Rattus norvegicus: one gene and its partners. The protein of the gene in region 3 interacts with the protein of the main gene of each other region in a pairwise test. Links are inferred from orthologs where the notes say so. Each region holds a gene or a part of one and is shown on either strand. Other genes may lie near its edges.

The links.
Region 1: the proteins of Nup62 (region 3) and Xpo6 interact in binary tests that used the Homo sapiens proteins (3 or more experiments, as listed by UniProt). The link is inferred for Rattus norvegicus from reciprocal best matches to the Homo sapiens genes NUP62 and XPO6.
Region 2: the proteins of Nup62 (region 3) and Ccdc121rt1 interact in binary tests that used the Homo sapiens proteins (3 or more experiments, as listed by UniProt). The two-hybrid records come from large-scale screens. The link is inferred for Rattus norvegicus from reciprocal best matches to the Homo sapiens genes NUP62 and CCDC121.
Region 4: the proteins of Nup62 (region 3) and Crct1 interact in binary tests that used the Homo sapiens proteins (3 or more experiments, as listed by UniProt). The two-hybrid records come from large-scale screens. The link is inferred for Rattus norvegicus from reciprocal best matches to the Homo sapiens genes NUP62 and CRCT1.
Region 5: the proteins of Nup62 (region 3) and Agr3 interact in binary tests that used the Homo sapiens proteins (3 or more experiments, as listed by UniProt). The two-hybrid records come from large-scale screens. The link is inferred for Rattus norvegicus from reciprocal best matches to the Homo sapiens genes NUP62 and AGR3.
Region 6: the proteins of Nup62 (region 3) and Oip5 interact in binary tests that used the Homo sapiens proteins (3 or more experiments, as listed by UniProt). The two-hybrid records come from large-scale screens. The link is inferred for Rattus norvegicus from reciprocal best matches to the Homo sapiens genes NUP62 and OIP5.
Region 7: the proteins of Nup62 (region 3) and Bfsp1 interact in binary tests that used the Homo sapiens proteins (3 or more experiments, as listed by UniProt). The two-hybrid records come from large-scale screens. The link is inferred for Rattus norvegicus from reciprocal best matches to the Homo sapiens genes NUP62 and BFSP1.

What each region holds. Positions count from the first base shown.
Region 1 is NC_086019.1:190,102,058-190,105,458, reverse strand, and holds the end of Xpo6 (exportin-6), read left to right. Parts: intron 1-2,099; coding exon 2,100-2,201; 3' UTR 2,202-2,740; downstream 2,741-3,401. UniProt on the Homo sapiens protein: Mediates the nuclear export of actin and profilin-actin complexes in somatic cells.
Region 2 is NC_086031.1:95,784,763-95,788,821, reverse strand, and holds Ccdc121rt1 (coiled-coil domain containing 121, retrotransposed), read left to right. Parts: upstream 1-1,686; 5' UTR 1,687-1,747; coding exon 1,748-2,719; 3' UTR 2,720-3,354; downstream 3,355-4,059.
Region 3 is NC_086019.1:104,434,636-104,439,080, forward strand, and holds the start of Nup62 (nuclear pore glycoprotein p62), read left to right. Parts: upstream 1-1,392; 5' UTR 1,393-1,451; exon of another isoform or gene 1,452-2,976; intron 2,977-3,113; exon of another isoform or gene 3,114-4,445. Other genes in the region: Atf5 (cyclic AMP-dependent transcription factor ATF-5), read right to left, coding at 1-143. UniProt on the Homo sapiens protein: Essential component of the nuclear pore complex. The N-terminal is probably involved in nucleocytoplasmic transport.
Region 4 is NC_086020.1:181,328,690-181,332,370, forward strand, and holds Crct1 (cysteine-rich C-terminal protein 1), read right to left. Parts: upstream 2,189-3,681; 5' UTR 2,118-2,188; intron 1,331-2,117; 5' UTR 1,309-1,330; coding exon 1,006-1,308; 3' UTR 703-1,005; downstream 1-702.
Region 5 is NC_086024.1:58,373,385-58,377,365, reverse strand, and holds part of Agr3 (anterior gradient protein 3 precursor), read right to left. Parts: intron 2,637-3,981; 5' UTR 2,610-2,636; coding exon 2,504-2,609; intron 1-2,503. UniProt on the Homo sapiens protein: Required for calcium-mediated regulation of ciliary beat frequency and mucociliary clearance in the airway. Might be involved in the regulation of intracellular calcium in tracheal epithelial cells.
Region 6 is NC_086021.1:127,053,942-127,058,527, reverse strand, and holds the start of Oip5 (protein Mis18-beta), read left to right. Parts: upstream 1-1,484; 5' UTR 1,485-1,491; coding exon 1,492-1,789; intron 1,790-2,023; coding exon 2,024-2,090; intron 2,091-4,526; coding exon 4,527-4,586. Other genes in the region: Nusap1 (nucleolar and spindle-associated protein 1), read right to left, coding at 1,067-1,159. UniProt on the Homo sapiens protein: Required for recruitment of CENPA to centromeres and normal chromosome segregation during mitosis.
Region 7 is NC_086021.1:151,703,150-151,707,704, reverse strand, and holds the start of Bfsp1 (filensin), read left to right. Parts: upstream 1-1,551; 5' UTR 1,552-1,721; intron 1,722-4,555. UniProt on the Homo sapiens protein: Required for the correct formation of lens intermediate filaments as part of a complex composed of BFSP1, BFSP2 and CRYAA. Involved in altering the calcium regulation of MIP water permeability.

The DNA of each region.
Region 1 (3,401 bases), about 86 Mb from region 3:
CTGCCCCTCTGTGCTTTCAGGCAGGCTGAAAGATTGATACAACTTTGGGTCCTCAAGATATGTTGCTTGGCTGCCCTGGGCTTTCCTGTAGCTCTTCACAGTGCAGCACTGGCACAGCTCAAATTCATTAAAGGGGCCTCATAACACTGACCCTCTGTGCCACTGATCCCCCAGGGTGAAGTCACTCAAGGCACCACTGCCCCATGCTGTCAAGCTGTGTGTCTGCCCTCTTTCTGTGTTGTGTGGCCATAGCTCTTCCTTCCTGCTCTGTGTGCGTTAGGCCTTCTTTTGAACAAGTTCTTTTGGAAGCTTTTTGGATAAGCACTGCCCCTCTTGTCCCCTTGGGAGTTGAGACTGCTTGCTCCTGGTTTCTATTGGTGCTCTTCACTTCCATGCTGGAGTACTGTTCTGAGCACCTCTGGTCTCTCTCCCCCTCATTTGGCATGTGTTCTTGTGTCTTAGAATTGTCTTTTCTTTGGGGGTCTGTCTTGTTCTCTCTTTTCAGCCACTTGAATTGTTTTTCCTTGGTTTCCTCGAGACCAACTCCTAATATCTAATAGTTGTTTTGCAGTGGCATCAGTATTGGTCAACTTCTTGGTTAATACATTGGGTTCTAAATCTGGTCACTCCTAGGATGCATATTGAAAATGGAGAGGCGTGCTTGGCTCCACCGAGGGAGTTCTGGTTTGGTGTTTGGGAGCTGCTGACTGAAAACGTGCTGCTTGGTCAGTTTTTGGCTTGGTTTGGTTTGATTATTCTGAGATGAGGTCGCTTTGTAGCTTTTGCTGAACTTGGTTTGTGATCTTTCTCCCTCTGCCTCTCATATTTGAGCACTATCCACCTATTTTCTGCCCTCCTCCTCGATACACAGGGTCTTACTTTGGCCTGAAACTTATCGTATAGACCAGGTTGGTCTCAAATTCATAGAGATCCTTCTGCCTCTGCCTCCCAAGTGCTGGGGTTAAAGGTGAACACTACCAGGCCCTGTGCTATTCTTCAGGCTGAACTGAATCACTTTCCATGAGGTTGTGTATTGGTTCACCTTGCTGCCATTCAACTGCTTCCATGCATGCTTTTGTGGGAGACAGGCTGTGTGGTGTATTTTTGGGCCATGCTGTTCCTGGTACTTCGTGCTCTTCCAACCTCCTTCTAAAGAGCAGCTCTTTACTCCTTTTTGCAGATGGTCTTGGCTCAGAAGGGCACCTGGTAGTGGGACAGGCTCCCAGCTGATGTCGCAGGAGAGCATGCAACATGATTGATCTGAGGGCACTTTGAAAGTTCAACACAGGTGCTGACCAGACCAGCTAAGGCAAGGCAGGCAGTATCTGGTGATGGGGACAGGTTTGAGCTGAGTTCCAAAGGAGGAAGAAGGTGGGAGAGGCAGGAGCAGTATCAACTGTTTGATGTGGCTGAGTTTTGCACAGGGATCACCTTGGTAGCAAGGGCAGGCTGTCAGTTATGTTTGTGACAGTGTGTGTGTACTGTTCACATCCGCCGGCGCTCTGTTGTCTCACACTAAGCAGTATGGGAAACAGTGGAGCAATTTCCTGATTGCCACTCCCAGCAGGGCAGCTCTGTGGCTAGGCTCAGATGTCATGTAATTTGTAGGGACTTGTGGAACTCATGAGGAAGGACTCAGGTGTGCGCCATCAAAGGCTGGCCTCTGGGAAGGGGAAGGACAGCCAGGTGGTGCTGGAGCTCTTCCCTCCCTTCCTGTCTAACTTGCAAGATCCTGAGTTGCAAGCTGTGGGGCAGTTCTGAATTGCTTGCAGCAGGGGCTGGCCCGTGGAGCCCTGAAAAAGAATTTGCATGTGCATCTGACCCAACCAGTGCCTTGCTTAGGAATTGGAATTGTGTTTGCATAGAGCCAAACGCACAAGCGTGGGGGCAGCTCATGAGTTTGGCGGATGGTTAGCCTTGGCTGTTAGGGTATGGGGGACCTTTAAGAGCCAGGCTTCAGGGGCTGGGGATTTAGCTCAGTGGTAGAGCGCTTACCTAAGAAGCGCAAGGCCCTGGGTTCGGTCCCCAGCTCCGAAAAAAAAAAGAACCAAAAAAAAAAAAAAAAAGAGCCAGGCTTCAGTTTTTGCCCTGCCTTTCAGGACCTACCCTCGTTTACCCAGAATGTGCACAGACTGGTAAATGATCTACGTTACTACCGACTCTGCAATGACAGCCTGCCCCCTGGCACCGTGAAGCTCTAGGAGTGCCTGCTGCCACCGCCACCTACACCACCTGCACCTGTGCCACGGAAGTCTGTGACAAGCCTTGGCCACTCTCTGGATGGGCATGCCTTGAGCAAGTTGCCTGCCTCTGCCCTCTCCTGCTGCCACCAGCACAGCAGGTGTTGGAGTCCATTTGGCACTGGTAGAGTTTCCATGCATTTGGAGCAGGCAGAGGGCCCTGTGGCTGGATGCCAGGGAAGTACCAGAGACCCCACAGAGTGGTTCATGCAGATCATGTGTGTCAGTCCTGAGTCAGAATCGCCAAGGACCACTTACGACAGTGCCACCTTCTCACCATTCCACCTCTCCACCTCTCCTGGCCCAGCCAGCCCAGGAGAAATTCCACATTGGAACTGTTTCTGTCGAGCCTCCTGCCCCTCCAATTGCCTTGAAGTCTCTGCTCTTTGTCAGAGATTCTCGAAGACTCTCGGGTTTTTGTTCCTTGTTTTCTCATCATTCCATTGTGATACTAAGAAGCTTAATGAATAAATAAAATGCTTAAGTTGTTGTTATATAAACACTAGCTATGGGGCATCTTTGTACCTGGGCCATCACAGGCCAGCAGTGGAGCTCTGTGCTGCTGAGACCCGTGTTGTCTTGGGAGAGTAGTGAGAGGAGGCCCAACTGCCATGGACATGCCAACATCTCCCTCCTACTACCTCAAGAAACGTGCTCCAGGCTTGGGGAGCTGCTGTCTAGGACACTGACCTTGTGGTAGAGGCAGGCATATATCCCAAGGCTATCTTGCTGCTGGATCCATAACTTCCTCCCAGCTGAGATGTGTGGGACCCTGGGACTTGGGTCACCAGTGACTGGCCTTAGGGAAGGAGAGGTCACGGGCAGCCAGGCAGCAGGTGGGTATCAAGGATCAGGGCCAGACTCATCACAGGAAATGTCTGAATGGAGCAGACCTCAGAAGGTTAGAGAGGCAGAGGGGTGACAGTATCTCTAGGCTGAAAGCAGGGTGAAGTTGAGTGAAGATAATCTTGGGGACCAGACAGCTTTGGTTGGGTCCTGAGTGAGTCTTGTCATCCCTACCCCTTATGACACTAGGGAGTAGTAAGTAGACATTCTCAGTAGTAATTCTAGGACAGCATTGTATGTTGGGGCATGTCACTTTTGTCACGAGGCAACCCCTAGCTGGCTCTGTGTTATCCAGAATAAGTAGTGATTCCTGCC
Region 2 (4,059 bases), on a different chromosome or scaffold from region 3:
GCTGAGTATGACCCCACACACACACATATACACACACTGCACACATGCACTGTACACACACTACACATATACACACTGCACACACTGTACACACACTGCACATATACACACTGTACATATACACACTGCACACACACTGCACACATATGTACTGTATATACACTGAACACACACATACTGCACACATATTGCATGCACACACTGCACATACACTATACACATACATATTGCACATACATACACTGCATACATACTGTATACACACTGAACACACATACTGCACACACATTGCACACATACTGCATACATACATACTACACATACAGCACACATACTGCACACTTATACTGCACACACACTCATACTGCACACACACACTACACACCACACACACACACACACACACACACACACACAGCCACAACACAATGAAGAGTTAGGCATGAGATAAGGAAGGGTGAAAACAATCTCAGAAGTTCTAGGTGTACTCAGCAGTATACCCCAGCTGACCCACAAAATGGGTGTCTGCCCATTTGTTGCATGAGAAGACAGGTAAACTTTCTAGTAAGTCTGTAGGACCTTGGACAAGTTGCTTTACATATCATGACAATAATGTCTAACTTAAAGTCTTGTAAAAAAAATTAAAAGCCTTTCAAGTAATAAAAATGGGGCAGGACTTCCTCAGTAACTATTTTGAGAGAAATAGAGTAGATTGAAACTTACCTACCCTAACCCAAGAAGCTTTGATTCTTATTCTTTCTTTACCCTAGGATGTGGTCTTTGGGGATTAGTATCTGTGTTTTGTGGGGTTTCTTTCATAGCTAAAGTGGGGGAAATAATGCATGTACTCTCCACCTAACATTTTTGGAAAGATCAGATGAAGTAATGTATGGTAGCATTGTGAAGCTGACAGGTCAAAATCCCAAGTGTCAAGGGAGATACGCACCTCAGTTAAACAAGTTGCCCAAAGTCACACAACTCTTTATCCTAGACATAAGATGCAGGCATTTCCAGTTACTTATAGGCTCCAGATTTCAAGAACCCAGCAATTTTGCCTTCAACTCACTATCAGGGGTGCCACTCCACGGTCAGTAGTACCCAAAGTGCCCCAAGGATGCACTTGGGGGAGCCTACTAGACCAAGGTGCCGTGAAGGAATTAGAGTTAAGGGCACTCCAGTCTTCAGAAACCTCCTCCCTTTCTTCCTGGCCTTCTGCCTGTCACAGTCTCTTCTGTGCTCCCTACGGCTCATGTACAAAGTCCCACAATGCTGCCTTTCTCAACAACACACAGGGAACTCAAGGATCTGCAAACAACCCTCCCCAGCCCTAGGTCTCGCCATTTATCCTGCAGACCCATACCCCCAGCACTGCAGAGATGAGTCTGGCTATACGTCTGCTAGTGTGCAGAGAACAGAAGGGCACGCTGACCTGTGGACAGGGTATGAGGAGGCAAAGCACAGGTCCCAGGAGAGCAAGACCAGAGGGCTCCCCAGGACAGGGCTCGCCAGCTTGGAACAGGAGCTCTGGGCTCCTAGTGAAAACTCGGAGATCAAGGCCAGCCCTGGACAGCCTCTGAGGCTACTCTAAGTGAGCTCTGCGACTTCCTGGCAGGCTGGGTGTAGCTTGGTCGCCTTGACCACCAGAGGGAGAAACCTTGGGAACATTGGCTCAGGACGCTGTACCCTGAAGTAACAAACCGCCTTGCTCCCTGGCAGTCACTTTCCTTGACCTGGGGATTCTGGGAACATGCTTGCCCAGAGCCCTAAAGGTGCACCCCCACCAACACCATACCTTACTATTCTAAATACGTATCTCAAGCCAAAATTGCTAACGAGGTTGGAGAAACGGGTAAAGAGGAAGACAGTGGTGGAGCTGAAGGAGCTGAGCCAGCAAATCCAAGAAACTAAATGCCGGCGGGAAAGGCTGCTGACGGACAGCAGGCAGCTACTAGAAGAAAAATACCGCGTGCAGGCCGAAAACCAGCTTTTCACGGAATACTTGCGTAAAAATAAGGAACAGTGTGAAAAGAAACAGGAGGAGCTGTGGAAGCAGTACATCCAAGAATGTGGCGAGATAGAACGAGAGAGGCAAGAATTGGCGTCCAGATACAACCAGAGAAATGCAGCTCTTCAAGCCCAGCTCCTGCAGGGCAGAAAGACCCAGAAGGATTTGAAGCAGCAGTTGCAGGCCCTGAAGCCAATTTACAAAGTAAAGGAGGGCCAGGACATGAAAATACAGAGCTTGGAGCAGGAGCAAGAGAAAGTCCGAGGTGAGACTGCGGCCAAGGACCAGAAGGCACACTTCCGGTTCCTGCAGGAAAAGGCATTGATGGAGAAGGAGCTGGAAGACCTGCACCTGATGGAGCTGGGGCAGATCAACACCACGGGGCTTACGAGGAAGTACAAGGCCTTGGCTCTAGCAGCCAAGCAGGCTCATTCTGAGTTCTGTGGCAGCCTCCACAGGGAGAACCAGCAGCTACGCAAGGAGCTTCAGCAACTGAGCCAGGAGTACCGCAGGGTGGAAGCTGTGAGGAATCAGCTGGAAAAGCACCGGAGGCTGATGAAAGAGCAGCGGTGGTACCTAGAAGCCTTGACCAGAGGGCGGCAGCGGCTGCAGGCAGAACGCGAACGCCATCACCGTCGTCACAACCCGTGCCTCAAGGAACAGAGAACTTCAAAGACCATGCTGAGCACCAAATCAAAAACAAGTTTAAAGTAAGAGCTACTACAACTGAACTGGAGCACAGGGAATAACTACAATCCAGAAAGTATCCTTCGTGGAGACTAGAAACGCTTGCACGAAGGGCGGTTGACGCAGCATGGGCTGTGCTCCTAGCCTGGGACCCAGGTCGTGGCTGTCCGTGTCCCTGGGGCTGCGTACACTCAGAGATTTAGAACAGTTGGAAATTTTGTAATGGGTTACACCACCCACTTTTATAGTAGCATTTGAAATCCTCAGATTACCCACTTAGGGCATATATTTTTACCACGCTTATTTTTTTCTTAGTGTGTACTCTGCAGTCCACAAAGTACGGTGTATAACCTGTACATTCTATGTATTTTGGGCCATATGAAGCAAATAGGAATCTTAAATTGTAGGGTTTTTGTTTGTTTAGAAGGGTCGCACGTTTGCATTTATGGTGGACTGTTTTGTTGAACTGTGGGTTCTGGTCTGGAAGAATGGTCTTGTATTTGGGTGATGCCCCTGCATAGGGAAAAGACATAGCCAGCTTCACGTTTCTCAGAAATTATTGGTAATGAAAACTTCGAGGGCACTCTTCAGAATTTTCTGCTTTTTTTATATGTAAAATAGGTTCTTTTTAAATAGGATTAAAAGGTGACTTAGCTTTTCAATGTGCCTTATCACCATCATCATCTTTTAGCATTGCTGGTGAATACATATACTTTACAGTTAAACAGTGTTGTTAAAACAAAATTTACCTGTAATTAGTTCTTAATACCCCTCCAGATTTATAAGTACAACAAAAATACTATATCCCTCAATGTTTTATTATACTACTGCCACCCTTTTGAAGTGATAGAACAAGCATGTGATGAGGTACAGCAGGCCAATAACATAAGCACCATGACTCGGGGTGAGGCCACTACGTCAGTGGCTAACGGGTGGGTAGTGTATAAAACATGGACGCTCTGGGCAAGGATGATTTGTGACCCTTATGTGATGGTACAAGGTCTCACCACACTACTCAGACACATGAAATATGCGAATCGTTTCTTTCCAGAATTTTCCATTTGATTTTGGACTGAAACTGAACACAGATAACTGAAAGGTAGGGAGGGAAGCCTGGGTAAGGGGAGTTGCCACGGTGCCAATCCAGGCCCCCTACTTTGCCTACTGTTTATAAAGGAGAAGCCCGCAGCCCAAAGGCTGTTTTAAAGCCTTCCTTGCGTCATTTCTTATCTCGTGGAGTATTAAAAGCTCACCTTGATCGAGGCTAACTACAGATCTTTTCCCTGTATGCCAGGAGCCATTATGTTGTCTAACCAATGGGCAGACTTGATGGACTGCTACAGGTTGCTTCTTGCCTCTAGAGCTGA
Region 3 (4,445 bases):
TCCAGGGCACCCCCAAGGACCTCATAGGGGCCCAGGGGGGCAGGGGCCAGGGGGAGTTTCCCATAGTCTACGAGCCAGCCCAGCCCGCTAGCTGGGAGCAGGGCCCTGTCCAGCTCCAGTCCCAGGGTCGCCAGGAGTGACATGGCTGAGGCACAGGTGCAGGGCTGCGATGGCAATGGAGGCTGCACCAACAACTGGGAGGCAGCGTGGAAGATTGTTCAGCTGGGTGAAGACAGGCACCAAGGCGAAGGTGGAGGGCCTGTGAGGAAGACAAGGTGGCGTGGGTGGGGTTGAGTCAAAGCTGCTTGACCCACAAGCTACCCACACTTTTCTTCTTTCTGCAAATTCCAGAGCTCCATACATTCCCAAGGCAACTTTTGGAAACTCCCCAGCCCCATCTCCTCCCTCAACACAGAAACCTAGTGTTCTCCCAGGGGAATTACTTCCAGCCCCTCCTACCTACCTCATCTTATTGCTCTTCGTAAAAAAATTCAATCCCAAGGTAATTTTATTTTCTTCTAGCCGTGCCCCTTCCGCATCAATATTTTCTTTAGACTATACGCCCTTTAGAGTTCACAGGGGTTCCCAGAATAATTCTGCCATGCCTTGGGCCCTTCATCAGTGTTACACACACAAATCCCACTCTTCCCTTAAAAGTTTTAGGTGACTTCTACAGATTCTACGGGAAGCCCCGCCCACACTCCTGTCTGTCAAGTCAGTTCCCGCCCCCAACTAGCAAGTCCCTAGAGGCCCCGCCCCTTGGTTCTAGCTCCAAGTCTTTCTTAAAGGTGTTCTTTAGCCTTCCCTGTCAATCTAAGCCAGTCCCCGCCCCAGCAGGTGCCTGATTGGAGGGAAGTTGGACCAGTGTCAGAGCCTCGAGGAACTCCACCCTTCCTCGCTGATTGCTCGCTAAGCCGCAAGACGAAAGCTCAGACCCTGGACCGGATTCATTGTTACGCCACTACCCTCCTGGGGGGACCAGTGCGTGTGTTTAGCCAATTACCGGCCGCCCTCCGTAGTTCAGGCCGGGAATAAGGTAATGCGCATGCGCAATAGAGTGTGGGTTCGTATCCTCTGAGGGGAAAGGAGGAAGAGGGTCTGTGAATTAGTGCGCAGGCGCAATGGCGCGCGAACCGACCTTAAAAGCCCCCAGACTCTGCGGAAGCACACCCTCCCCCACGCCTGGAGCCTAGTGCGCTTGCTCAGCGGATGCGCCGGCCACCGACTTCCCTCTTCTGCGCCTGCGCGACCGTGGTTCCTCATATCGTCTTCCCCACCCCCTCCCCACGAGGCTGACCCGTGAAGCCCCGCGAGCTCTGTGAAAGGGCGGGAAAGGCGGTTGGAGAGGGAGGGGCGAGCGGTTACTCACTCCATGGCTGCGAAAAGGAGAGGAGGCAACGGCGGCGGCGGCCTCAGTTGAAGAGTCGGTGTGAGCAGAGAGTGAAGTCGCGGTGAGCGCGGAAACGGGGCGGGGGACACGACGAGATCGCGGCTACAGAGCCATTGCACGGGCGGAGGCGGCGTGGCAGGAGCGTTAAGGGAGACTGCTGAGAGGGTTGAAAATGAGGCGGCCCCGGGGCCTGGGAACAAATATACCGGGGGCGGCGCAGCGCGGGATGCCTGGATCCCTCCGCGCTCCGCCCTCGCGGGGCCCCGACGGGGCGGTGGCGACCCCGGGCCCGCCATGTCGCCCTGACCCTTCACTCACTGCTTCAGGCTGGGGGCCCGGACTCTGTTTCCTGTATCGGTTGGATCCTATTCGATCTCTCTTACACCCGTAACCAGCTCATCCCGTTATCTATCCCTGCTTCACAAATTTGCCACCAGTCCCTAAAACCGATGTCGCTCCGAGAGACCTCGTGGGTTAAGCTCATCGCGGAATGGCGAGTTCAAGCTAGCTTAGGCTTCATAGACGAGTTCAAGGGAGCAACAGCGAGATGTCGCTGTTTATAGATATACGCACAAATATACCAGCTATGGAAAGTAGGCCACGGAGTCCTAATCAGGACTCTTAAACCTTCTTGTTTGTTTTAACGTTTATTGTGTATGTATGTGGTGGTCAAAGAAGAGCTAGCAGGAGTTGGTTCTCCTACTATATAGTAGGGTCCCAGGGATGGAACTCAGGTCAGATTGTTTGGCAGCCTTTCTCCACTGAGTCATTTCATCTACTACTAAAATCGTTTTATTTTCTTTTAGATTAAGCCCCCACCCCTGGGAGGGGGCCTGATTTCACCCCTTTTTATCTCCCTACCCCCGATTCTTAGCCAGCCAACATATCCATATGATCATTCTGTGTGTCCCACCTCCAAGGTTTCTGTTTCCAGCCATCCCTACTTGCTACATGCTGTGCTCATCATGCCACCCTCTTAGGTTTTGCCCCTTGCTCTGACTTCCTTGCAGTCCTTGCTCTCTTGCTGACCCCACTAGATAAATTGTTTCTTGATCCTGTCTGTCCCCCAGGATGATGGGGCGGTTTTCCGCCCCGTGTTCGAGTATAGCCGTCATTCCATGTGGAAGCCAGTCAGCCTATCATATTTGTAGCAGCTGAGAGACTGAATGGGTGGAGATGGAACTCAAGAGTGCTTGCCTGTTGCACACAAGAACCTTAGCACCCAGCACCACATGGACGGTGCTTGGTAGTTGTCTATATTCCCAGCATTTGGAAGATGGAAGCAGAAGGAATCATGAATTCAAGGTCATACTGGCTGGCCTCAGTGTGTTTTTAAAAAGAAAAAGCTCAAAGGCCAGGCCTGGTATCTTACCTACTTAAGAGGCCAAGGCGGGAGTATTGGAAGTCAAGGTCAGGGCCTGAGCTGCTTTGAGATAGTTCAGGTGGTAATCTCTAAACCCAACCCTCTTGAGTTCCATCCCCAGAACCCAAAAGCAACTCTATAGACAGACGGTTGTCCTCTGGCCTTCACCATCACCACGTGTGGTGACAGGTCTGAATGCTGACTAGGAGTGTGATTTAAAAAAAAAAAGTTCATGGCTTGCCTGGACTAGAAAGTGAGTTCTTAGCCTTCTAGGGAACTTACAAAGACCCTGATTTAAAAAAACAATTATACTGGGCTGGGGGTGGGGGATTGGTGGCAGAGTATTGGCTAGAGTGCTGCTTTCCAGGACCTGGTTTCTATTCCTGGTACTGTAAAAGAAAAAAGATTGGAGCAGGTGAGGAAAACTGATTTTGAAAGTTACAAGCAGGAAGTCCTTGGCAATTTTACTCTTGGAGTGGGCTCTCTTAAAAGATTTATGTATGAGTACACTGTAGCTGTCTTCAGACACACCAGAAGAGGGTATCAGATCCCATTACAGATGGTTGTGAGCCACCATGTGGTTGCTGGGAATTGAACTCAGGACCTTTGGATGGGTCAGTGTTTTTTTTTTTTTTTTTTTTTTTTCCCAGAGCTGGGGACCGAACCCAGGGCCTTACGCTTGCTAGGCAAGCACTCTACCACTGGGCTAAATCCCCAACCACCACCACCACCCCTTTTTTCTTTTTTTCGGAGCTGGGGACCAAACCCAGGGCCTTGCGCTTGCTAGGCAAGTGCTTTACCACTGAGCCAAATCCCCAACCCGGGTCAGTGTTCTTAAGCGCTGAGACATCTCTCCAGCCTGGAGTGGGCACTCGTATCTGCTGCCAGTACAGGTAACCATGAGATGTGATGTGTTCAGACTCCAGCCCTAGCTTACCAGCTATGGGCTGCATTAATTCTGTGTGGAGTCTGTTTAGACTAGATACTGATGCATAAAGGCTGCCACTAATACAGAAGTGGAATGGACCCATGGCTTCATGCATTGCATGCTAGACAGGCATTCTACCACCTGAGCTGCATCCCTGGGCCCCACAGGTGCCCTTTTTTATTTTTGAAACAGTATGCCATGTTGCAATGCCTATGGTCCTCCTTTCCTTGAATTTAGTATTTTAAAGTAAACTTTTGGAATGAGATAGGTTTCAAAGACAGTGCAGAGTGGGTACCAGCTCATAGTCTCTTCCCTGTGGTGCTTCCGTCACAGCCAAGGCTGCACAACCTTTTTCTGTCCTGGGGTCCCACCCAGATGCTTCCCCCACCCCTAAACCCATCTTAATTTCAGTTGTGCTTGGTGGTCATCCTTGGAGGCCTGCCACCCTGAGCTTTGGCCAGTACCCAGCCCATGCTATGTGTCCAACATGTGTGTTATTCTTTGTCTATAACCCTTACCCAGTCTCAAATGGCAGCCTAGTTTCTTTACTCTCAAAAAACAAACAAATTCTTTGGGGAGCCAGAAGCAAGGGTGGAGCTGCTTGGAACTCTTTTCCAGTGCGGAGGGACCTGAGCTAGGGAGTGAGGCGGCTGGTTGCAGGCAGTTGCATCAGCCGTGGCTCTGATGGGTAGGAAGGGGTAAGGGAATTCTCTGGGGACCACAGAGCACCTGGCAACAGCTCCTAGGTAGCAAAGACCTGGATA
Region 4 (3,681 bases), on a different chromosome or scaffold from region 3:
CAATGGTCTTCCAGCAGGAAAAAAAAAATGAGGAAGGGCTGGAGAGATGGCTCAGCGGTTAAGAGCACCTGACTGCTCTTCCAGAGGTCATGAGTTCAATTCCCAGCAACCACATGGTGGCTCACAACCATCTGTAAAGAGATCCGATGCCCTCTTCTGGTGTATCTGAAGACAGCTACAGTGTACTTATATATAATAAATAAATAAATCTTAAAAAAAAAATGAGGAAAGGATAGGAAAAGGCGGAAGGAGTAGAGAAGAAGGGAGGAAGGGAAAAGATGAACAAAGAAAAAGAATGTTCAGCAAACTGAATTCAAATTCCTGAACTTGCCATTTCAAACCAGACTCCCTCGTGGCCTAGGGCGGGGGCGGAGCTTCCTCAGGGAGGAACTCCAGTTTCCTGACCACCTAGAGCAGACCAAGCTAAGCAACGCAATTAGCAAGATGATCTCCTGGATCTTGCAGGCATATCGAAGTGACTCTATCTAAGCTTAACATCAGTTTCCCTCTGTAAAATGGATGCGGCAGCAGCCACCTCAGAGAATCAAAACACAAAGTAGATGGGACTGCCAACCCCAAATCCTTAGAACTCACAGAGTTGAAGTGTTCTCCTTCAGGCGTGAGTCTTTGAGGGGTAGTATAAAGGGCAATAAAATAAGAAAAATGAAGGCACGGATGAAGGAATAAATAGGGAAAGAAGCGTTCATAGGAGGTAGAAGCTTTATTATGATGTCTCCAGGCAACAATCAAATCAGTAGCCTGTTTTGAACACTACTGTGCACACCTCCTGCCCATAGCATGGTCTAAGGTCCCACCCCTGACTTTTGTATTCCCTGGGAGGAAAATCAACTTTAGAGGACAGGTCTAAGAACAGAGTGAGGTTTCTGAACATCAAAGTGCAGTTAGCTTAAGGGAGAACCAAACTCCTAGTCCGGTCCTGCCTGTTTCTACTATGGAGGACAGGGTGAGAGCAGCAGAGCTGTTCGCGAGCAGCTCGGTGGGCTCTCAGCAGCCACCAGAACAGCAGCCTGAGCTCTGATTGTTGCAGGAGCGTTGAGACCTTTGGCTTCCTCCGCAGCAGCAGCAGCCGCCAGTGCGCTGACGGCGGCGTCTCCTGGGAAAGCAGCAGCAGCCGGTGGAACTGGAGCCACAGCAGCCAGAGTCACCACCACAACCGCCCCCGCAGCCTCTGCAGCATCCGCCATCACAACAAGATGAGGAGGACGTAGGGGCCGGAGTCGGGGCGGAGCAAGGGGCGGAGCTCTGGGAAGACCCTTTGGAAAAGCCTTTGGCGCCCTGCTGAGACATCTCGGCGTTTGTCAAGACGAATCTGAAAGAAAGACAACCTTTTTTAAAAATCCCGCCTTTTCTTCCTGTCGTGGAACACAGAGCTTTGGGCGTTTGGCTTACAGAAAAGTCTGTCTGACTTGGGGCAAGAGGGCTATGAGAAAGAAAGAAAAAACAGGGAGGGAGAGGGGAAAAGAAACAAACTCAAACAGGTGCTTCCAGTGGCAGAGGCACAAAGCAGGAAACAATATAAAAAGGATCGATGCAGTTTCCCTGACTGACATAAGGACCATCCAAGGTCTCTATGGTGGAAAGTAAAGAGCATACGACTACGATTTATCTGCATGACTCAATTAAAAATCTCTTGGCTTCAGCCCTTTCCCAACTGTATTTTGACCACACAGCCTTACAAGTGGTAATTTCAGTTGTATTGTATAAGCATCACCTCGGTCAGAAAACACAAAGACTATTTTTGTCCCTCTGTCTTGGGTACAGAGAATCCAAAAACACAAAAGCATATTCTGCACACCCTTTCTTGCCTGTCCTCCACATTATAAGGGAAAGGCATCTGTCATAGCAGAGAACGGGAATAACTTAACCAAGGTACCTAAGACCTGGTTACTCAAGCTCTTCTCAGACTGGAAAACCTTTCAAAGGTCAGGGCCATGCCAGGCCTTTGCATCTTCATATGCAACACAAAAGGCTGGCTCACTAGAAACCGGGTTCCAAGCCCATCTTCCCAACAGCTACATTCTGGTGGCTTCCTCCCTCCTCCTTTCTGTCTTCCATTCTTCCCAGCCTCCTCTCCGAGACCCTGCTTAGATACTTACTAGACTTTGGCTCCACAGGAAGATCCACTCAGTTCTCCAACTGGAACTTGACACCTGCTAGGCAGAAGACTGAACAATGTATGGCCAGAGAAGCTTTTATAAGATTCCAGCAAGTCCAGGTACTTGGGAGGAGCCCATTTCTCAACAGACATGCTCAGCTGACACTTGCATCCCAGAGGCATTCATCACTCAGATAGCACTGTAGGTGGTGCACGTGGACAACCAAGTCACTTCACAGAGGTGCCAGGATTGCTGTGGTGTGTTTACTTTTCAAACCGGACACTGTTCATAGCTGGGAGGGCTGTATGTGAGCTCAGAAAAGGCCTGGAAGGTCAAATGAGGAGAGGTCTGAGGTTCTCTCTTAAACACTGTACACACAAATACACAGGCACAAACAGCTGGGGCAAAGGGAGAACACCTGTACTGTTCCACTTTCTCACACACTTATTCAAGTACAGCTATCTCCTTATCATTTATTGTCTTATTTGCATCTCTATAGCCCTTGATTCTTGTCTTTGCATAGCAGGCTGCAGGCTATGTGATGAACCCTCTGGGTTTGGTCCAGATGCTTGTAGAGACTGAAGACAATGGTTGGGATGGGAATCCCAACAGTGGTTTCTTCCTATCACCATTGACAGGAGGAATAATGCAGACAAGGTTAAGAGACCAATAACACCAAAAACACCAAAAGAAGTCACTTTATCATATTTCCATAATGTAATCCTAATGGATCTCAGACAAAAATGGGTGAGATGTCCGTGCCTATTGGAAAATAGGAAGCTGGCTAGCCTCGGAGCTCCTGTTTCTGATACCACCTTCCTTAAGGATAGATTGACCCTAGGACTACTGACAAATAGGAAAAAGACAAAACAGCACAAAATGAAAAGGATAAAATAAAAGAGCAAAGAAGAGGGGAAAATAAAAGGGAAAATGCCTCGAAAGTTCCCACAGTAACTGTTGCGTTTTAACTAGCTGATTTATAAAACTGGAGGAAACTTTGGAGGTCAACTGCCTCTGAACTGCCTTTCAATCATCAGAACTACCTGGTCATACCAACCATGAGTATGAGACATAAGAGAATCTAAGACTAAGAATTCAGGGATTAAGAGTGAGATAGGTTTTGGGGTGCATTGCTGGGTGTGGCATGAGGAAACAGACAAGGAAGTACAAGTCATAGAAGATACCCGTTTCATTTGCCATGGCTTTAGATCCTGATTTACAGGTTGCCTACTGTAGCAGAGCACCTGGCAAGAAGAGGTCAGATTTTCCAAGAAGAAAGATCAAAGTCAGAAAAGAGAAGGAAGTGATGAAGTAATAAGGTCGATGCGGGCTCTCCTCTAGAACATTATGCAAAAGGTAAAGAAAGGGGTTGGGGATTTGGCTCAGTGGTAGAGCACTTGCCTAGCAACTGCAAAGCCCTGGGTTCGGTCCCCAGCTCCGAGAAAAAAAAAAAAGGTAAAGAAAATCAGAGATAGGAATCAGTATAACGAGGTCAAGTAGATACTCACTGTGTGGACCTCTTACACCAACTTTATGCATCACTGTTAACTCTTACCAACTGAGG
Region 5 (3,981 bases), on a different chromosome or scaffold from region 3:
CAGCATTAGATTCCATGGAACTGGAGTTCCAGAGAGTTGTAAACTGCCATGTGGGTGCTGAGATGGGAACCCAGGTTTGCCTAGAAGAGCAGCCAGTGCTCTTAAGTGCTGGCCATCTCTCCAGCTCCCCTTATCTGTTGTAAACGTCACTCAAATACTAGAGATTTATTAATGGGAACATTCCAGATCTCTTTTTCCTGCTCAACCTAGTTCCACCGACATTAAAGGATCATCATCTGTTCTGATCTTATCCACTAGTCTCTGAGAATACAGAGAAAACAATTATATAACTTCTGAACTAGATAGAGCTCTGCAGGGAGCATACTGTATATCATAACTGTTTGCATGAAGTCTAGGTCATAATCACAATGGGGTGAATGTGACAGAATTTAAATTCTCTTCCTTGTCTAGATCCGTGGCTGTTGTTTTGTCTCTAGATTTGGTTATGCTTTTTGGTTTTCTATGGATGACTTTATTCATTCACCAGATATACATTTTTTAAATATCTGCTGTACGTTAGGCACTTGCACTGGCTTCTGGGCAGTTGTTTAGTTTTGTAGACCATGTTGAACTTGAACTCACAAAGTTGAGTACAGGGAGGCACTTTAGGCAAGCACCATCACACCCAGATACAGTTCTTACACGAAAAGGATGCTAGGAAGTGTTTTGGTTACAAAACATTTGTGCATGTGTATTTTTTATAACTACCTATTTCCTTTCCTCACTAATCTGTTTTCTTCCAAGTGGTCCCTGTCCTTAGCTGGTACTGTTCTTTGCTTTAAAGGTCCGCACTGGGCACACTGTACCCTGACTCTTTCCACCCACTCCTGCCTTTCATCCTCACTTTCACCGCCATTCCAAACACAGAAATAGACAGTAACAGGGTCAGCAAATACAAGCCAGCCCTCAGCACAGTGACTTGACTCAGCGTTAGTGATCTTTTTCTCCATTAAAGCAGTATCTTAATAACTGTCGTAGTAGAACCAAGTTATTAAAGGTAAGCCATGCATATTCTAATTTGTTTTCATAAAGTTTGCCAGAAAAGGGCCCAGAAAGATGGCAGGTAAAGGCTCCTACTACCAAAACCGATGACTTGAGTTTGATCCCTGGAACCCAAATTGGAGGAGAGAACAGAGTTTGGCAAGTTCAGCAAATTGTCTCTGACCTCAGCACATAAATAAATACATGTAGTAAAACTTGGCTTCAGAGTTTTAGATCAACATCTGAATGGACTCACAGGGTACTGATGTCTTTACATCAGCAATTAGTAGTTTGGCCCTGGGTGGTTTAAAGTTACTAAGCTATTTATTTTATAACTATTGTACTTGTTTGGAGAGCGATGTGAAAAAGTATATCCAGGGAAGTAGTTTTGCCCTTTATCTATTTTTCAGTATGCATTGCCTTTCTAGGTGTATAGGTTGTGATTGCTAAGCTAAAGTTTAATTAATTCACTTAGGCAAACATTATGGGCACAGCTGGTGGACTATGTACATGAGGACATGAACGGTTTGGAAGCCAGTCTGCGTTAGCATTTTAGATCCCTGCAGTGTGTTGCATTGTTCACTCTGCTCAGAGTACCACATCAAAGCATGGCCAAACACTATGTGGTTATCCCGCTTATTTCAATTTATCATGTTGGGGCAAATAATTCTCAGCATTTACTGTTTCCCTGAAAACATAAAAAGAATTCTGAGAACTGTTTCCTCATCATCTTTTTGGACACAAAGTATTTTTTTCCCCTTAGGTCAGAGTAAAACTATAAGTGTGTGTGTGTGTGTGTGTGTGTGTGTGTGTGTGTGTGTGTTTGTGTGTGTGTGTGTTTACCTAAAGCCAAAGCCAATGTCAAATGTCTAAAGTCAGTGCAACTGTTTATCGGAGTCCTAAGAAAGACTTAGCTATCCAAAGTTATCAGGGGGTGAGAGAAAGCATGATTTTCTGGGTATAGCCCTCTATAAAATTATAATAATTATTTTCTTGCCTTAAATAGGGGCCTGGGAATTTAAGCAATCTTTGCAGAATCTTAAATTGCTCTTAGGACAACATTATGGCATAGAAGAACCATTTCTTTTCTAAGATTCTTATGATCAAAGCTATACTCGTCAAGCCAGTTCTTTACAACATCTACAAAAGACACATTAAAGAATTTTTATTAAGCCATTTTTATTAAGCCAGGCAGAGTGGTTAAGAGACAGAGGCAGCCCCATATCTATGAGATTGAGGCTAGCCTGGTGTATATAACGAGTTCCAAGCCAGCCAAGGCTACATGGAGAGACCCTGTTTCAAAAACAAAACAAAAAACCCAAACCCCAAAATGTCATTATTCCTTTGAAATTCGATTATTTACTATCTAAAAATCAATCATCCCCTTTAGAATAGTTTGTTGTAAAGTCATACATAACAAATATCTAGGCATTTCTGCTTATAATCAAACTATAGATGTATACAGCAAATGTATTGAGGACAGTTGAAGGACTGAGTGTAGAAACGACAGAGATTACAGTACCTCTTGAGAGTGTCTGAGGAGGTCTCTTTTCCTTCTTGATAGCAATGGCAAGGTTGGAAGAAACTGTGATCAGCAAAAGGCAGAGGGCCAGAGCCGAGTGTAGCATGTCTTCTAGAGAGTCACTCAGAGGCAGCTAAAAGATAATTTTCGGAAGCTGGTCATTTTTCACAGCCGTTATCCAAAGGTATTTGGACAAACCAGAACCTGACAGTTTCATTTTTCAGTTTTATATTAGATAATCTCAGGGTGATCATTTAAAAACCATTTTAGTAAATATTAAGGTTGTGAAGGTTCTGGAAATCCTGACGCAGAGTGACAATGAGAGCAGGTGGAGGGTACCCAGCTGTTCCTGAGGTCACTGTGCTGTGCATAGCTCTACCGTGAAACTCAAACCCTGTCCTGTTGGTTATCATTTTCAAACTTTATGATGCAAAGCAAGATTGACTCTTAGCATCAAGATTCTTTGACTTTTCGTCTCTCAGGGCCTAACAGCTGGGACAACATCTTTAACTGTAGAGTAGCATGAGATTAGACATGAAAACAATTCTTCAGCTACAAATAAGAAGCAAAATAGACTACGGGCAAGCCTTGTTTTTCAGTGCTCTGTAGGCACATGGCTCCAACAGTCGCATAGCCTTCCACTTAAAACTCTTCTCTTTAAAAAGGCCAAGCATTATAGGCTACCGAGATGACACATAGGGACAGCAGAGTAGAAAGCAGTGCACATATATCCTCCGTGCTTGTTCAAAAATTCTTAAAACATTTTTGACTGCAGATTTGTATCATTTGACAGTGAATTCCACCATCGTAATGAAATTTCCTAGCCCAAATGCAATCAACAATTGCTTACTGATTCTGCTGGACTGTGGCTATATTTAACTCCATTAAGAATTGTGGAAAATGGAAAGATTCACAAGACACAATAATTTGGTCCTAAGAAAACAACAGGTGACTGTGAGTGTTGATGCAAAATAGCATCTGAGATCTCGTAGGGCAACAGCTCAGTGGAGGTTTATAGGCCCTGGTTTCTCTAGATACTTCTTTATTTGTCTTGTTCCACTATGTTCTCAGTGATGTCTCTCCTGTCTCATTTCTGAATCAATGATATTTGCCATTCCTGGTTAGTCTTATTGATTACTTCCATCGATAATTGCCAGCAGAACCACTTATTGTCTTCTTTGTATGCAGGGTCTAAAAACATGTTAAACAGTAACCATGTCTGATAACACTATCAGTTTCAGTTCTTATAGCTCATTAAGTCATAAAACATTTCAGAATGTCATTCTCGGACCTGGACAATGAAAAGAAAGCAATGGACAAGGAACAGGACAGCCTGGGCTAACAAGGCCAACTTGGGAGGGTCAGCTTCAGTCAGGATGCAAGTTGCAGTAGTGATGTTGAAAAATTACCTACAAGAAAGTCCTATCAGAGAGGGCTTATATCCAAAATATACAAAGAGACAAATAACCCTATTAAAA
Region 6 (4,586 bases), on a different chromosome or scaffold from region 3:
TAGTTGATAAACAATTAGTCAGGCCAGAGGAGGAAGGGGAGTTTCAGGCTACTCTAAACTATACACTATTTTCCAGGATAGCCTGGGCAGTACAATGAGACTTTGTTTCATAAAAAGGAGGAGGAGGGGGTTGGGGATTTAGCTCAGTGGTAGAGCGCTTGCCTAGCTTGCAAACGCAAGGCCCTGGGTTCGGTCCCCAGCTCCGAAAAAAAAGAAAAGAAAAAAAAAAAAAGGAGGAGGAGGAGAAGGAAGAAGGGAAGGGAGGAGGAGGAGGAGAATCTATCCAGATAGTAAAAACCTGAAAGACTAAGCTTTATTCACTAAGTTGGGGAGCCATTAAGTACTAAACTCAGAAACACTTCCAAGTGCTCTTCACTGCCATTCAGCCAGATAAAACGTATTATCTATGGCCTCATTATTCTGTTTAAAGTATTTAAAAACACTTGTGACAACTGATTAGACATTTAGTGAAAATATCAGTTTGCTGTACAAATCTCTGGCATATACATGTGGGAAATCTCAGCTCCAATATAGCAAGCCTAATTTCACAATGAATCACCACATTTTCTCTGAGTACCTTGCAAACTCGGGATTCAAAGACCTTTTCGGTTTTGAAAAAGACCACCATCACAATAGTGATTACTGTATCGATGATCATAGTAGATCTTGGTGGACAAGCATATTATAAGCTCATGAGAGTGAAGGTACTGGCACGGTTTACTGAACAGTAAGTAGTAGTTTGAAGTAGTTTTTCTTTAACTGCCTAATAACTGGAATAGAAATTAAAATTACATTGATCACATCCTATGAGCCTTCGTTTCCCATCTGGTACCAGGATTTCCATTAAGAGGCCTTTATGAGTTCTTGAGAAAAGCCTCCAAATAAAGTAACAGACATGGCTTTTCTTTCATTTAACAAATTCCAGTCACTGTGAACAAAACCTGCCTACTCGCCCAAAACAGCGTTCCTCGGGGACTCCCTCTCAGTCACTTCGTGCCCTGTTCCCCAAACCCCGAGCCTCTTCTAAGCCGCCCGCAACCGCCCGCCCCGCCAGTCAGCACCGTACCCTCAGGTTAGCCCGGAGGCCCAGTCTTTTGGCTAAATTTTGCAGGTCGCTGTACTTGAAGGAGTCCAGCTCCTCTGCAGAGGGGACGGTCATCACGTTCTGCAATCACGGTGATACCCAGAAAAACAGCCACACGACTCAAAACAGCACCGTTCAAAACTGGCGCCACCCAAGACGTTGACAAGCAGACTTTTATACTCAGTTTAAATGACGAATGCTGTACGCCCATTGGTTGAACTGCCTCGAGGGTGGGGTTTCCTATGAGGGCCAGTAGCGTGACTGGCTGAAGACAGCTACTCCGCAAACCTAATAGGCAGACACTGGGTATTGTGGGCGTGTCTTACAGGAATATTGTCCAATGAAGGCACAGCAAAACAGTTGGGCGGGACCTGGGACGTGCGTGAAACAGGCGCGGGTTTCGAAAAATGGCGACTCTTTCGCCGCGCGGTCTCCCTGTCGTCGAGACCCAGTCCTGTAGTGGCTCTTGTGATACACCTTTTTCTTCCTCCATGGAGTGGGACACTCAGGTGGTGGAAGGGTTCTCCCCTCTCGGGTCTTCCGGGTCTGAGGTGAAGGCGTCACCTGTCGACCTGCGGCTGCCTGCGTGGTTGAAGCCGGAGAGATGTGCGGTGTTTCATTGCGCGAGTTGCTACGCGGTGCTCGGCGACACTGTGCACCTCGCCTGGGACCTATCGAAGTTCCTCGGCGCCCTGGCCTTTTCCAGTGAGTGAGGCGAGGGTTGCATCTGAGGAAGGCAGACCAGAGCCAGATGGGGGATGTGGCTTAGTACCCGAGCGGGGAGTGAGGCCTGGTTTTGTTTTCCAGAGTTGGGCTTCAAACACAGAACCTAGCCTGAGCTAAGCCAGCGCCTTTGGCACAGCCCCCACTTGGTTAACTTTTATGGCCCGATGAATCTGGTGGGAGGTATTTCTTTTTCAAAACCGGTTTGTCTTCCAGGAGTCACAAACAACGTCGTTTTGTTAGAGCCCCTTTTGGTTGGCATAGAAGGTTCTCTCAAATCCAGGTACGTGTGGAGAATTCCTGAGGTGGATCTGTATTGTTCCGGATTTAATGATGGTCAAGAGTACGTAACTGTTGTAAACAAGAAAGAAACTTTGTGTTGTGGCATGTTTACTCTCTCCATACAGTATGTTTGAAAGATAAACTCTTTACCCGTTTCAGTCATATTAACCTGGCTTTAATGAAAGTTAAAGTTGGGGGTAGGTCTTAAGGTCTGTGAGATAACTAGGACTATTTAACTTGGAGCTTATAATGTAAATATATAAACATAATATAAATCACGACAAGACTAATTCTGTAGTAATCTATAGAAAACTCTGCATCTTTGTTTGTTAATGTTTTTCCTATAGCAATAAAGTACTCAGTGAACTCGGGCTTAGAGTGAGGCCAAGCTAAGTTGTAGCCATACCTCCATTCAACTTTGCCAAACTAAAGACACATTCCTATCCTTATAGGAATTCCTTCTCTCAAAGGGGACCAGGAAGGAGTGGCCTGTTTCTATTGAAGTTGTTTGGAGCAAGAGGCAGAAGTACTCAGAATTGATGTAGATGGTCACATGTGTCCAGTACTGTAACCACTACCAGCTGTAATGGACCATTAGGATGTGGACATTGTTGAATTGAGAATACTTTGAATTCATACAGTATTTCAGAAGCATTTAGGGGTAGGGGTTGAGATAGGCTCTCTCACTCAATAACCTCACTAGCCAGGAACTCACTATGTCACCTAAGCTGGCCTAAAGCTTGTGATCCTCCTACATTGAAAACTTTTTTTGTGTGAATATGTTTGCGTATGCGATGGGAGCATGCATATGTAGGCCCGGAGGTAACCGGAAGCAGTCTTGCCTTCACCATGCTGGATGGAAGGATTAAGCTCCGTGTCTCAGGGTTGGTAGCAAGTGCCTTTCCCCACTGAGTCATTTCACTGGCCCTGAAGTGACACTTTTGATCTAGTTACATCACAAATTCTTTTACTTTTGATATTGGTAGTAATGGTCTTACCTTGACCTTACAGTTCTGCTTCTGCCAACAAGTGTTGGATCACAAGCATCAGAACCTACACCCAAAATCTTTTTAAAAAGCCTGATTAAAAACTGTAATTATAAGCCTGGTGGTGGTAGGACACGACTTTTAACACAGCCCTAGGGAGGCAGAGGGTCTCTGTGAGTTCAAGGGCAGCCTGGTCTACAGAGCTAGTTCCAGGACAGCCAAGGGTTCACAAAGGAACCCTGTCTGAGAAAAACAAACAAAAACTTAATCATACATTTGGAGATGTGCTATAGCTTAGAAGTACTATGTTTGCTTATCTTGTATTAGGTGCTAGAGTTGATCTATAATAAATACTTCAAAAATGCATACAAGTTAAAAGAAGAGAATGAGATTTCTGTTCCACATTATAATCTAAAAATAGTTTTATTACCTTTATTTATTTAGTGTGTGTATTGTGTAGTCACATGCCAAGGTACACTAATGAGGGTGAGAGGACACCTTTGAGGAGTCCAGACCCAGGATCACACTGTCAAGCTTGGTTGTAGGTACCTTTCCCTGCTGTTAGTGCAGCCCTGACTTCCCCACTGTGTGGTTCTGCTTGTGTGTATCCTAACTGAGGTAAATGGTCGTTTTCACTAGTAAACTTGAGGTCTTGAGATACATTCTTTACTATCTTTGAACTCAGTAGTTGATTGTTAGATTGTATTGTATGTGACACAACACTTATTATAAATTATTTCAAAAAGTTTTTTTGGATTACAGTCTATTGGTACTTAAAGTTTTGGCCAGGCATGGTGGTGCCTTTAATCCCAGCACTTAAGGAATGAGTGACAGTGAAGAAAAATCTTTATTCCACTCCACTGCCTGATATTATGTCCTGTTGTCTTCCAGACTGACAGACTTTTATAATGAATACAAATTAAAACCTAATCGACCTTATTCTATATAAGGAAATGGAGAAACAATTGTATTTTCAATATATATTGGAAGTAACTGCCTTAAGTCCTTTGGTGTTCATGATCCAGTGGCCTAGCAAGCTATATGATGCTAACTGACTATAAGGGAGTAAAAAACCCAAAACATCTTAAGGACAGTAGTAAATTTCTTTATTAGGTAGGGAGCCATGAATTACACAAGTGGTCAGAGACAGTACCAAAATTAGTTTTGAGGATTGTATTGTTTTGTTTTAAAAGTTTTTAGTTTGTTTTTGGTCAAAAATTATGTTCTTTGTTTTTGTTTCTTTCAAACAAGAGTCTTATATGGCCCAGGCTGTCCTTGGGAGCCAGTGAACTTGATGAAGTCCATCAGGTCGATGAACTTGAGTTCCTCCTGCCTATGCTTCTGGGTGTTAGAGTAACAGATACCAACACTATACCTGATGAGGGTAGTTATTTTTATTTCTCTTTTAGCTTTTCATTATTTTATATTCTGCTTCTTTCCTTTCCCACCAGCACATACAACCTTTTATTCTGTAACTCCTGTGGGACTCCTGTTGGTTTCCATTTATATTC
Region 7 (4,555 bases), on a different chromosome or scaffold from region 3:
TGTGGTCGAGGGCAGTAGGTGTGTGGGAGTGGGGTATGTGCATGTTAGTGCAGATGCCTGAAGATGCAGGAGGCCTCTGACCTCTGAAGCTGGAATTGCGTGTAGTTGTGAGCTGCCCACCACGAGCGCTGGGACAGTCCTCTGAAGATTGGTCCACACTCCTAACCACTGACCCATCCCTCCAGCGCCCCCCATACCCTATTTTTAACTAATCGGTTTTTAAAGAGGTGTGTCCAGCCTCTAGCTGAGCATTGTATGTTTTTGATCTGTTCAGGTCTTCCTTTTAGTCTCACAGTAAGGCTTAATTTGCTTCTCTTTGTAGTGCCTATGAATAACTGAAATATTAGAAAGGTATTTTATGATTTGCTGGTTACGTTGTACGATTAGTTATTGTTTGAATAAAGGCAAGCAAAAGTCAACCTTGATACTTTTAGGACCTTTCCCTGGGATTTCATTAAATGCTTGAGAATGAGGTTGTACAAGCCACAAACAATGGCAATTCTGTTTCCAATTCTTATAACTAAATCCCGTATCTTGTAACCGATTGGTTAACTTGTAGCTGGCAATAGTAGCCAGCATCTTTGCCTTGTCCTTCCTTTTGGGTGGAAAAGCTTCTAACACTCCACCAGCCCTTTCTGTGCCAGGTTTCTGGCAGACATCTGCTAACAAGTCAAGCAAATTTCTAATCCCATTTTGTTAGATTTTCGTAACTTTTAATTTTTTTTTCAAACCTTATTTTTAACCAAGTTCTTAAACACTTTAACCTCCCTTGTAGCCCGCCACCCACCGGAGGTAAGTGGAAAAGAAAGGATTGGGGTGGGGCGGGGGCAGTGGACCTGTTTACTAAGTTTCTTTGGAGCAATTCCCGTCTGTATTGTCTGGAAATCATCAGTTAAGTTCACAGATACACCAGCAGTCCAGTGCGACAGAGTTGGGTCAGCAACAGTGGTGACTTGACCGAGGAGAGACAGCGAGGCCTCGACCTCAGAGTCAGCAGAAGAGACCCACAGGAACACCAGAAGTTCTCAGCTGTGCCTCTCTCAGAGAAGCGAAGATCAGCGAAGATGCGAGGCCCATAAACGTTTCGCAGCTAGCTGTACCAGCAAGCCGAGCGAGCTCTGTCTCCATCACTCTGTGGAGTCCTATTTATACCCTCTTGGAAGATCATGCGTCTTCCAAGTGCATTGCCTCAGCACGTGCATCCAGGCGAGTCTGATGAGTCCTGAGAGTGCAGCTCAACGTTCCTTCATGTGTTTGCCCCAGCAAAACACCATCCAACCGACTTTCCAAAGAACCCTTAAGTTTTCCACTTCAGGTTCTGCTTTTAATCAATACTGCATGCCTATCTAGTCTTACTAAATATTTTAAAGAGACCACGGAAGGTTTACCCTCTAATGGAACAGAGTAAATTATATTGATGAGTTTTCTAATGTGGAACAATGTTTGCCCTCTATGACGCATCTCTACATGACTCTGACTTTTGTTTTCTTGCGTGAGGCGGAAGGAGCTGACGCATGTGCGTGTGTGCATGTGCGTGCGTGCGTGCGTGCTTGCTTACCAGTGTACATGCAGAGGCCAGAGGGAAATGTCAGGTGTCTTCCCCTCTCACTCTTCATCTTATTCCCTTGAGACAGGGTCCCTTGCTGAATCTGGAGCTATGATGGCAGCAGAAAGCCCCAGGGATTTGTCCTATCTCCGTCCCTCACAGTGCTGGGTTACAGGTATGTAAGCCTCGGACAGTGCTTGCCACGGATGCTGAGGGTTTAAATTCAGGTCCTCAGTGCTCGGGCAGCAAATTCGATTCCTTTCTGAGCCCCCTCTCCAGCCCGCAGGCTCGCACTGGATTCATTGTCGGTTTGCTTTGTTCGTCATTTACTTAGACTCTGTTTTCATAAATGAGATAAGCTCACACCAGGCCATTTCGGCCTTATGATTGCAGAATCCTGGGGGCAGTTTAGGTCCCCAGACAGACAGAGTTAGGTCCCCAGACGTCAGGAGGATTCCTGCCCTGCCTTCACCCTGAACAGAGTCTCTTAGGTGGGATAAACTAAGCCATAAGCTGTGACGGTATCAGCCTGAGAAACTGATGGGGCCTTAGATCTGGTCTTAAATATAGATTTAGCTTAAATAATTTTAAACCAACTTTCTCTAGTGATTTTACTTTTTGGGCCACTTTGGTAGTTTTTACTTTTTGGTCTCAAAAAAAAAAAAAAAGTCTCATGTGAGTTCTAAACTTAAAGGATATAATATTGTACATAGTATACTTTGTCCCATTATGTTAAAAATCTGTCACCGGTAACTGTAGCTTTTGTTATTTTTTTGTATCAAAAATAAATTATACTTTCTTGTTTTGCTGAGTCTTGCCACCTTAACTATTTATTTACTTGAACTGGATTTTTTTAAAAATCTTTAAACCAGTCTTTTCTTTTCTTTTTTTATTAACTTGAGTATTTCTTATATACATTTCGAGTGTTATTCCCTTTCCCGGTTTCCAGGCAAACATCTCCCTCCCTCCTCCCCCTTCTTTATGGGTGTTCCCCTCCCCATCCTCCCCCCTTGCCGTCCTCCCCCCAACAATCTAGTTCACTGGGGGTTCAGTCTTAGCAGGACCAAGGGCTTCCCCTTCCACTCGTGCTCTTACTAGGATATTCATCGCTACCTATGAGGTCAGAGTCCAGGGTCAGTCCATGTATAGTCTTTAGGTAGTGGCTTAGTCCCTGGAAGCTCTGGTTGCTTGGTTGTACATATGGGGTCTCGAGCCCCTTCAAGCTCTTCCAGTTCTTTCTCTGATTCCTTCAACGGGGGTCCTATTCTCAATTCAGTGTAAACCAGTCTTTTCAATGACCCCTGTCCTGACCGGGGCATCTCTTCCGTCAGAGAAACACTACTGGTTGTGTCTCTCAAAGGCTCAAATGCAAAACTGACAGTCAGCAGCCGATAATGCTATTAGGAGACGGTCCCGCCTTTGGAGGTGGAGCCTAGTGGGCGGAGTTAGGAGTTAGGTTGTTGCGCTTTCAGGCCCTTGCCTTAGAGTTCTTTTCTGCACCGACTCAACTTCATCCCCTTGGCACTTAGCTCCGGTTTCAGGACTTTACTTATCGTCTTCTCTGTTGTTGGTTTCCCAATCTATGTCTCTCTGTTTGACTTATTTGCAGACAAGTATTTATTTGCTATTTCTCTGTCGATATTTCGTGATTAGAACAGGACTCCGGAGATCTTGCCGCAAATTTGTGTTGTGTTCAGCTACCCACGACCTGTGAATGGCGGTTTTGTTCTTCAGCTTTCTCCTTGCCTTCCCTCTCTCGCATCCCACCCCAGCAAATTCTACTGATTCCACTGTCAAAACTCATCACTTCTCACTACCGTCTTAACCTCACTCTGGGCTGACTGATCATCACCTCTGCATCCTCAACACAGCTCTCAGGGTTGGTCCTGTTAGGTGAAATGTCAGTTTATAGCACTCTTTGCTAAGACTCTCAGTGGTCTCCTCCTCCTCTTATGGCCAAACAAAACCATTACAAAGGATTTTGTAGAGAGGTTCCGGCCCCTAGCTCTCTGACCGACTCATCTGACCTGTGATCTTCTTCGTCTTCTCTACCTTCTGCACACTGGTTATACTGACCGCATCAACTATTCTTGAGCAAACCTGGTCTATCCTGTCAAACTAGATCTCCCCTGAGGCTAGAGTACACCTTCTCGAGACATCCGTAGGGCTTGCCCACTGCATACTTCAGTTTTCTGCCCAGATATTACTTCCTTAGGAAAGGCCTTGTTGACTATACTGTCTGAAATTTCCACCCACCTCCATCTCTTCAGTTCCCTCCAATGTTTACTTTTCCTCTCTATCGCTTGTTACCATTAACCTAATCTAGCTTTTGCTTGTGTGCTTTAATTACTTTTTGAGATAAAGGCTTGCTATGTCAGAAGGCCTGGTCTTGAACTCCAGGGCTCAAACGGACCTCCCATCTTAGCCTCCTGGCTGATAAGCCCATAAGCTTGTTCCACCAAGCTGGGCATGAACTTTTTACTGATATGTTAATTGTGTCCATCGATGGATTACAGTGTGGCAATTCAGTATGTGTGTATACAATGCATAATGATCAAACCAGAGTAATTGTCACTTGTGTACCTGTAAATATGTCATTTCTCTATACTGAACACCTCCTTTCTGGCTCTTTATAAAATGTATAGGAAATTGTTGTGTAGTCTCCCTTCTATGGTACAACATTTGAATTTATCCCCCTTTATAAAACTATATTTTGGTGACTCTTGTCCAGTCTTCTCTGTCCTAGCTTTCTCTCCCGTCCTTAACCTCCAATGACCACTGCTCTTTCTTCTAAACTTAGCTCATTCCTGTTCTCCTCTTTTATTTATTTATTTTTTAAATGTTTATTTATTTATTGTATATGAGTATACTATAGCTGTCAGACACCAGAAGAGGGCATCGGACCCCATTACAGATGTTTGTGAGCCACCATGTGGTTGCTGGGAATTGAACTCAGGACCTCTGGAAGAGCAGCCAGTGCTCTTAACGACTGAGCCATCTCTCCAGACC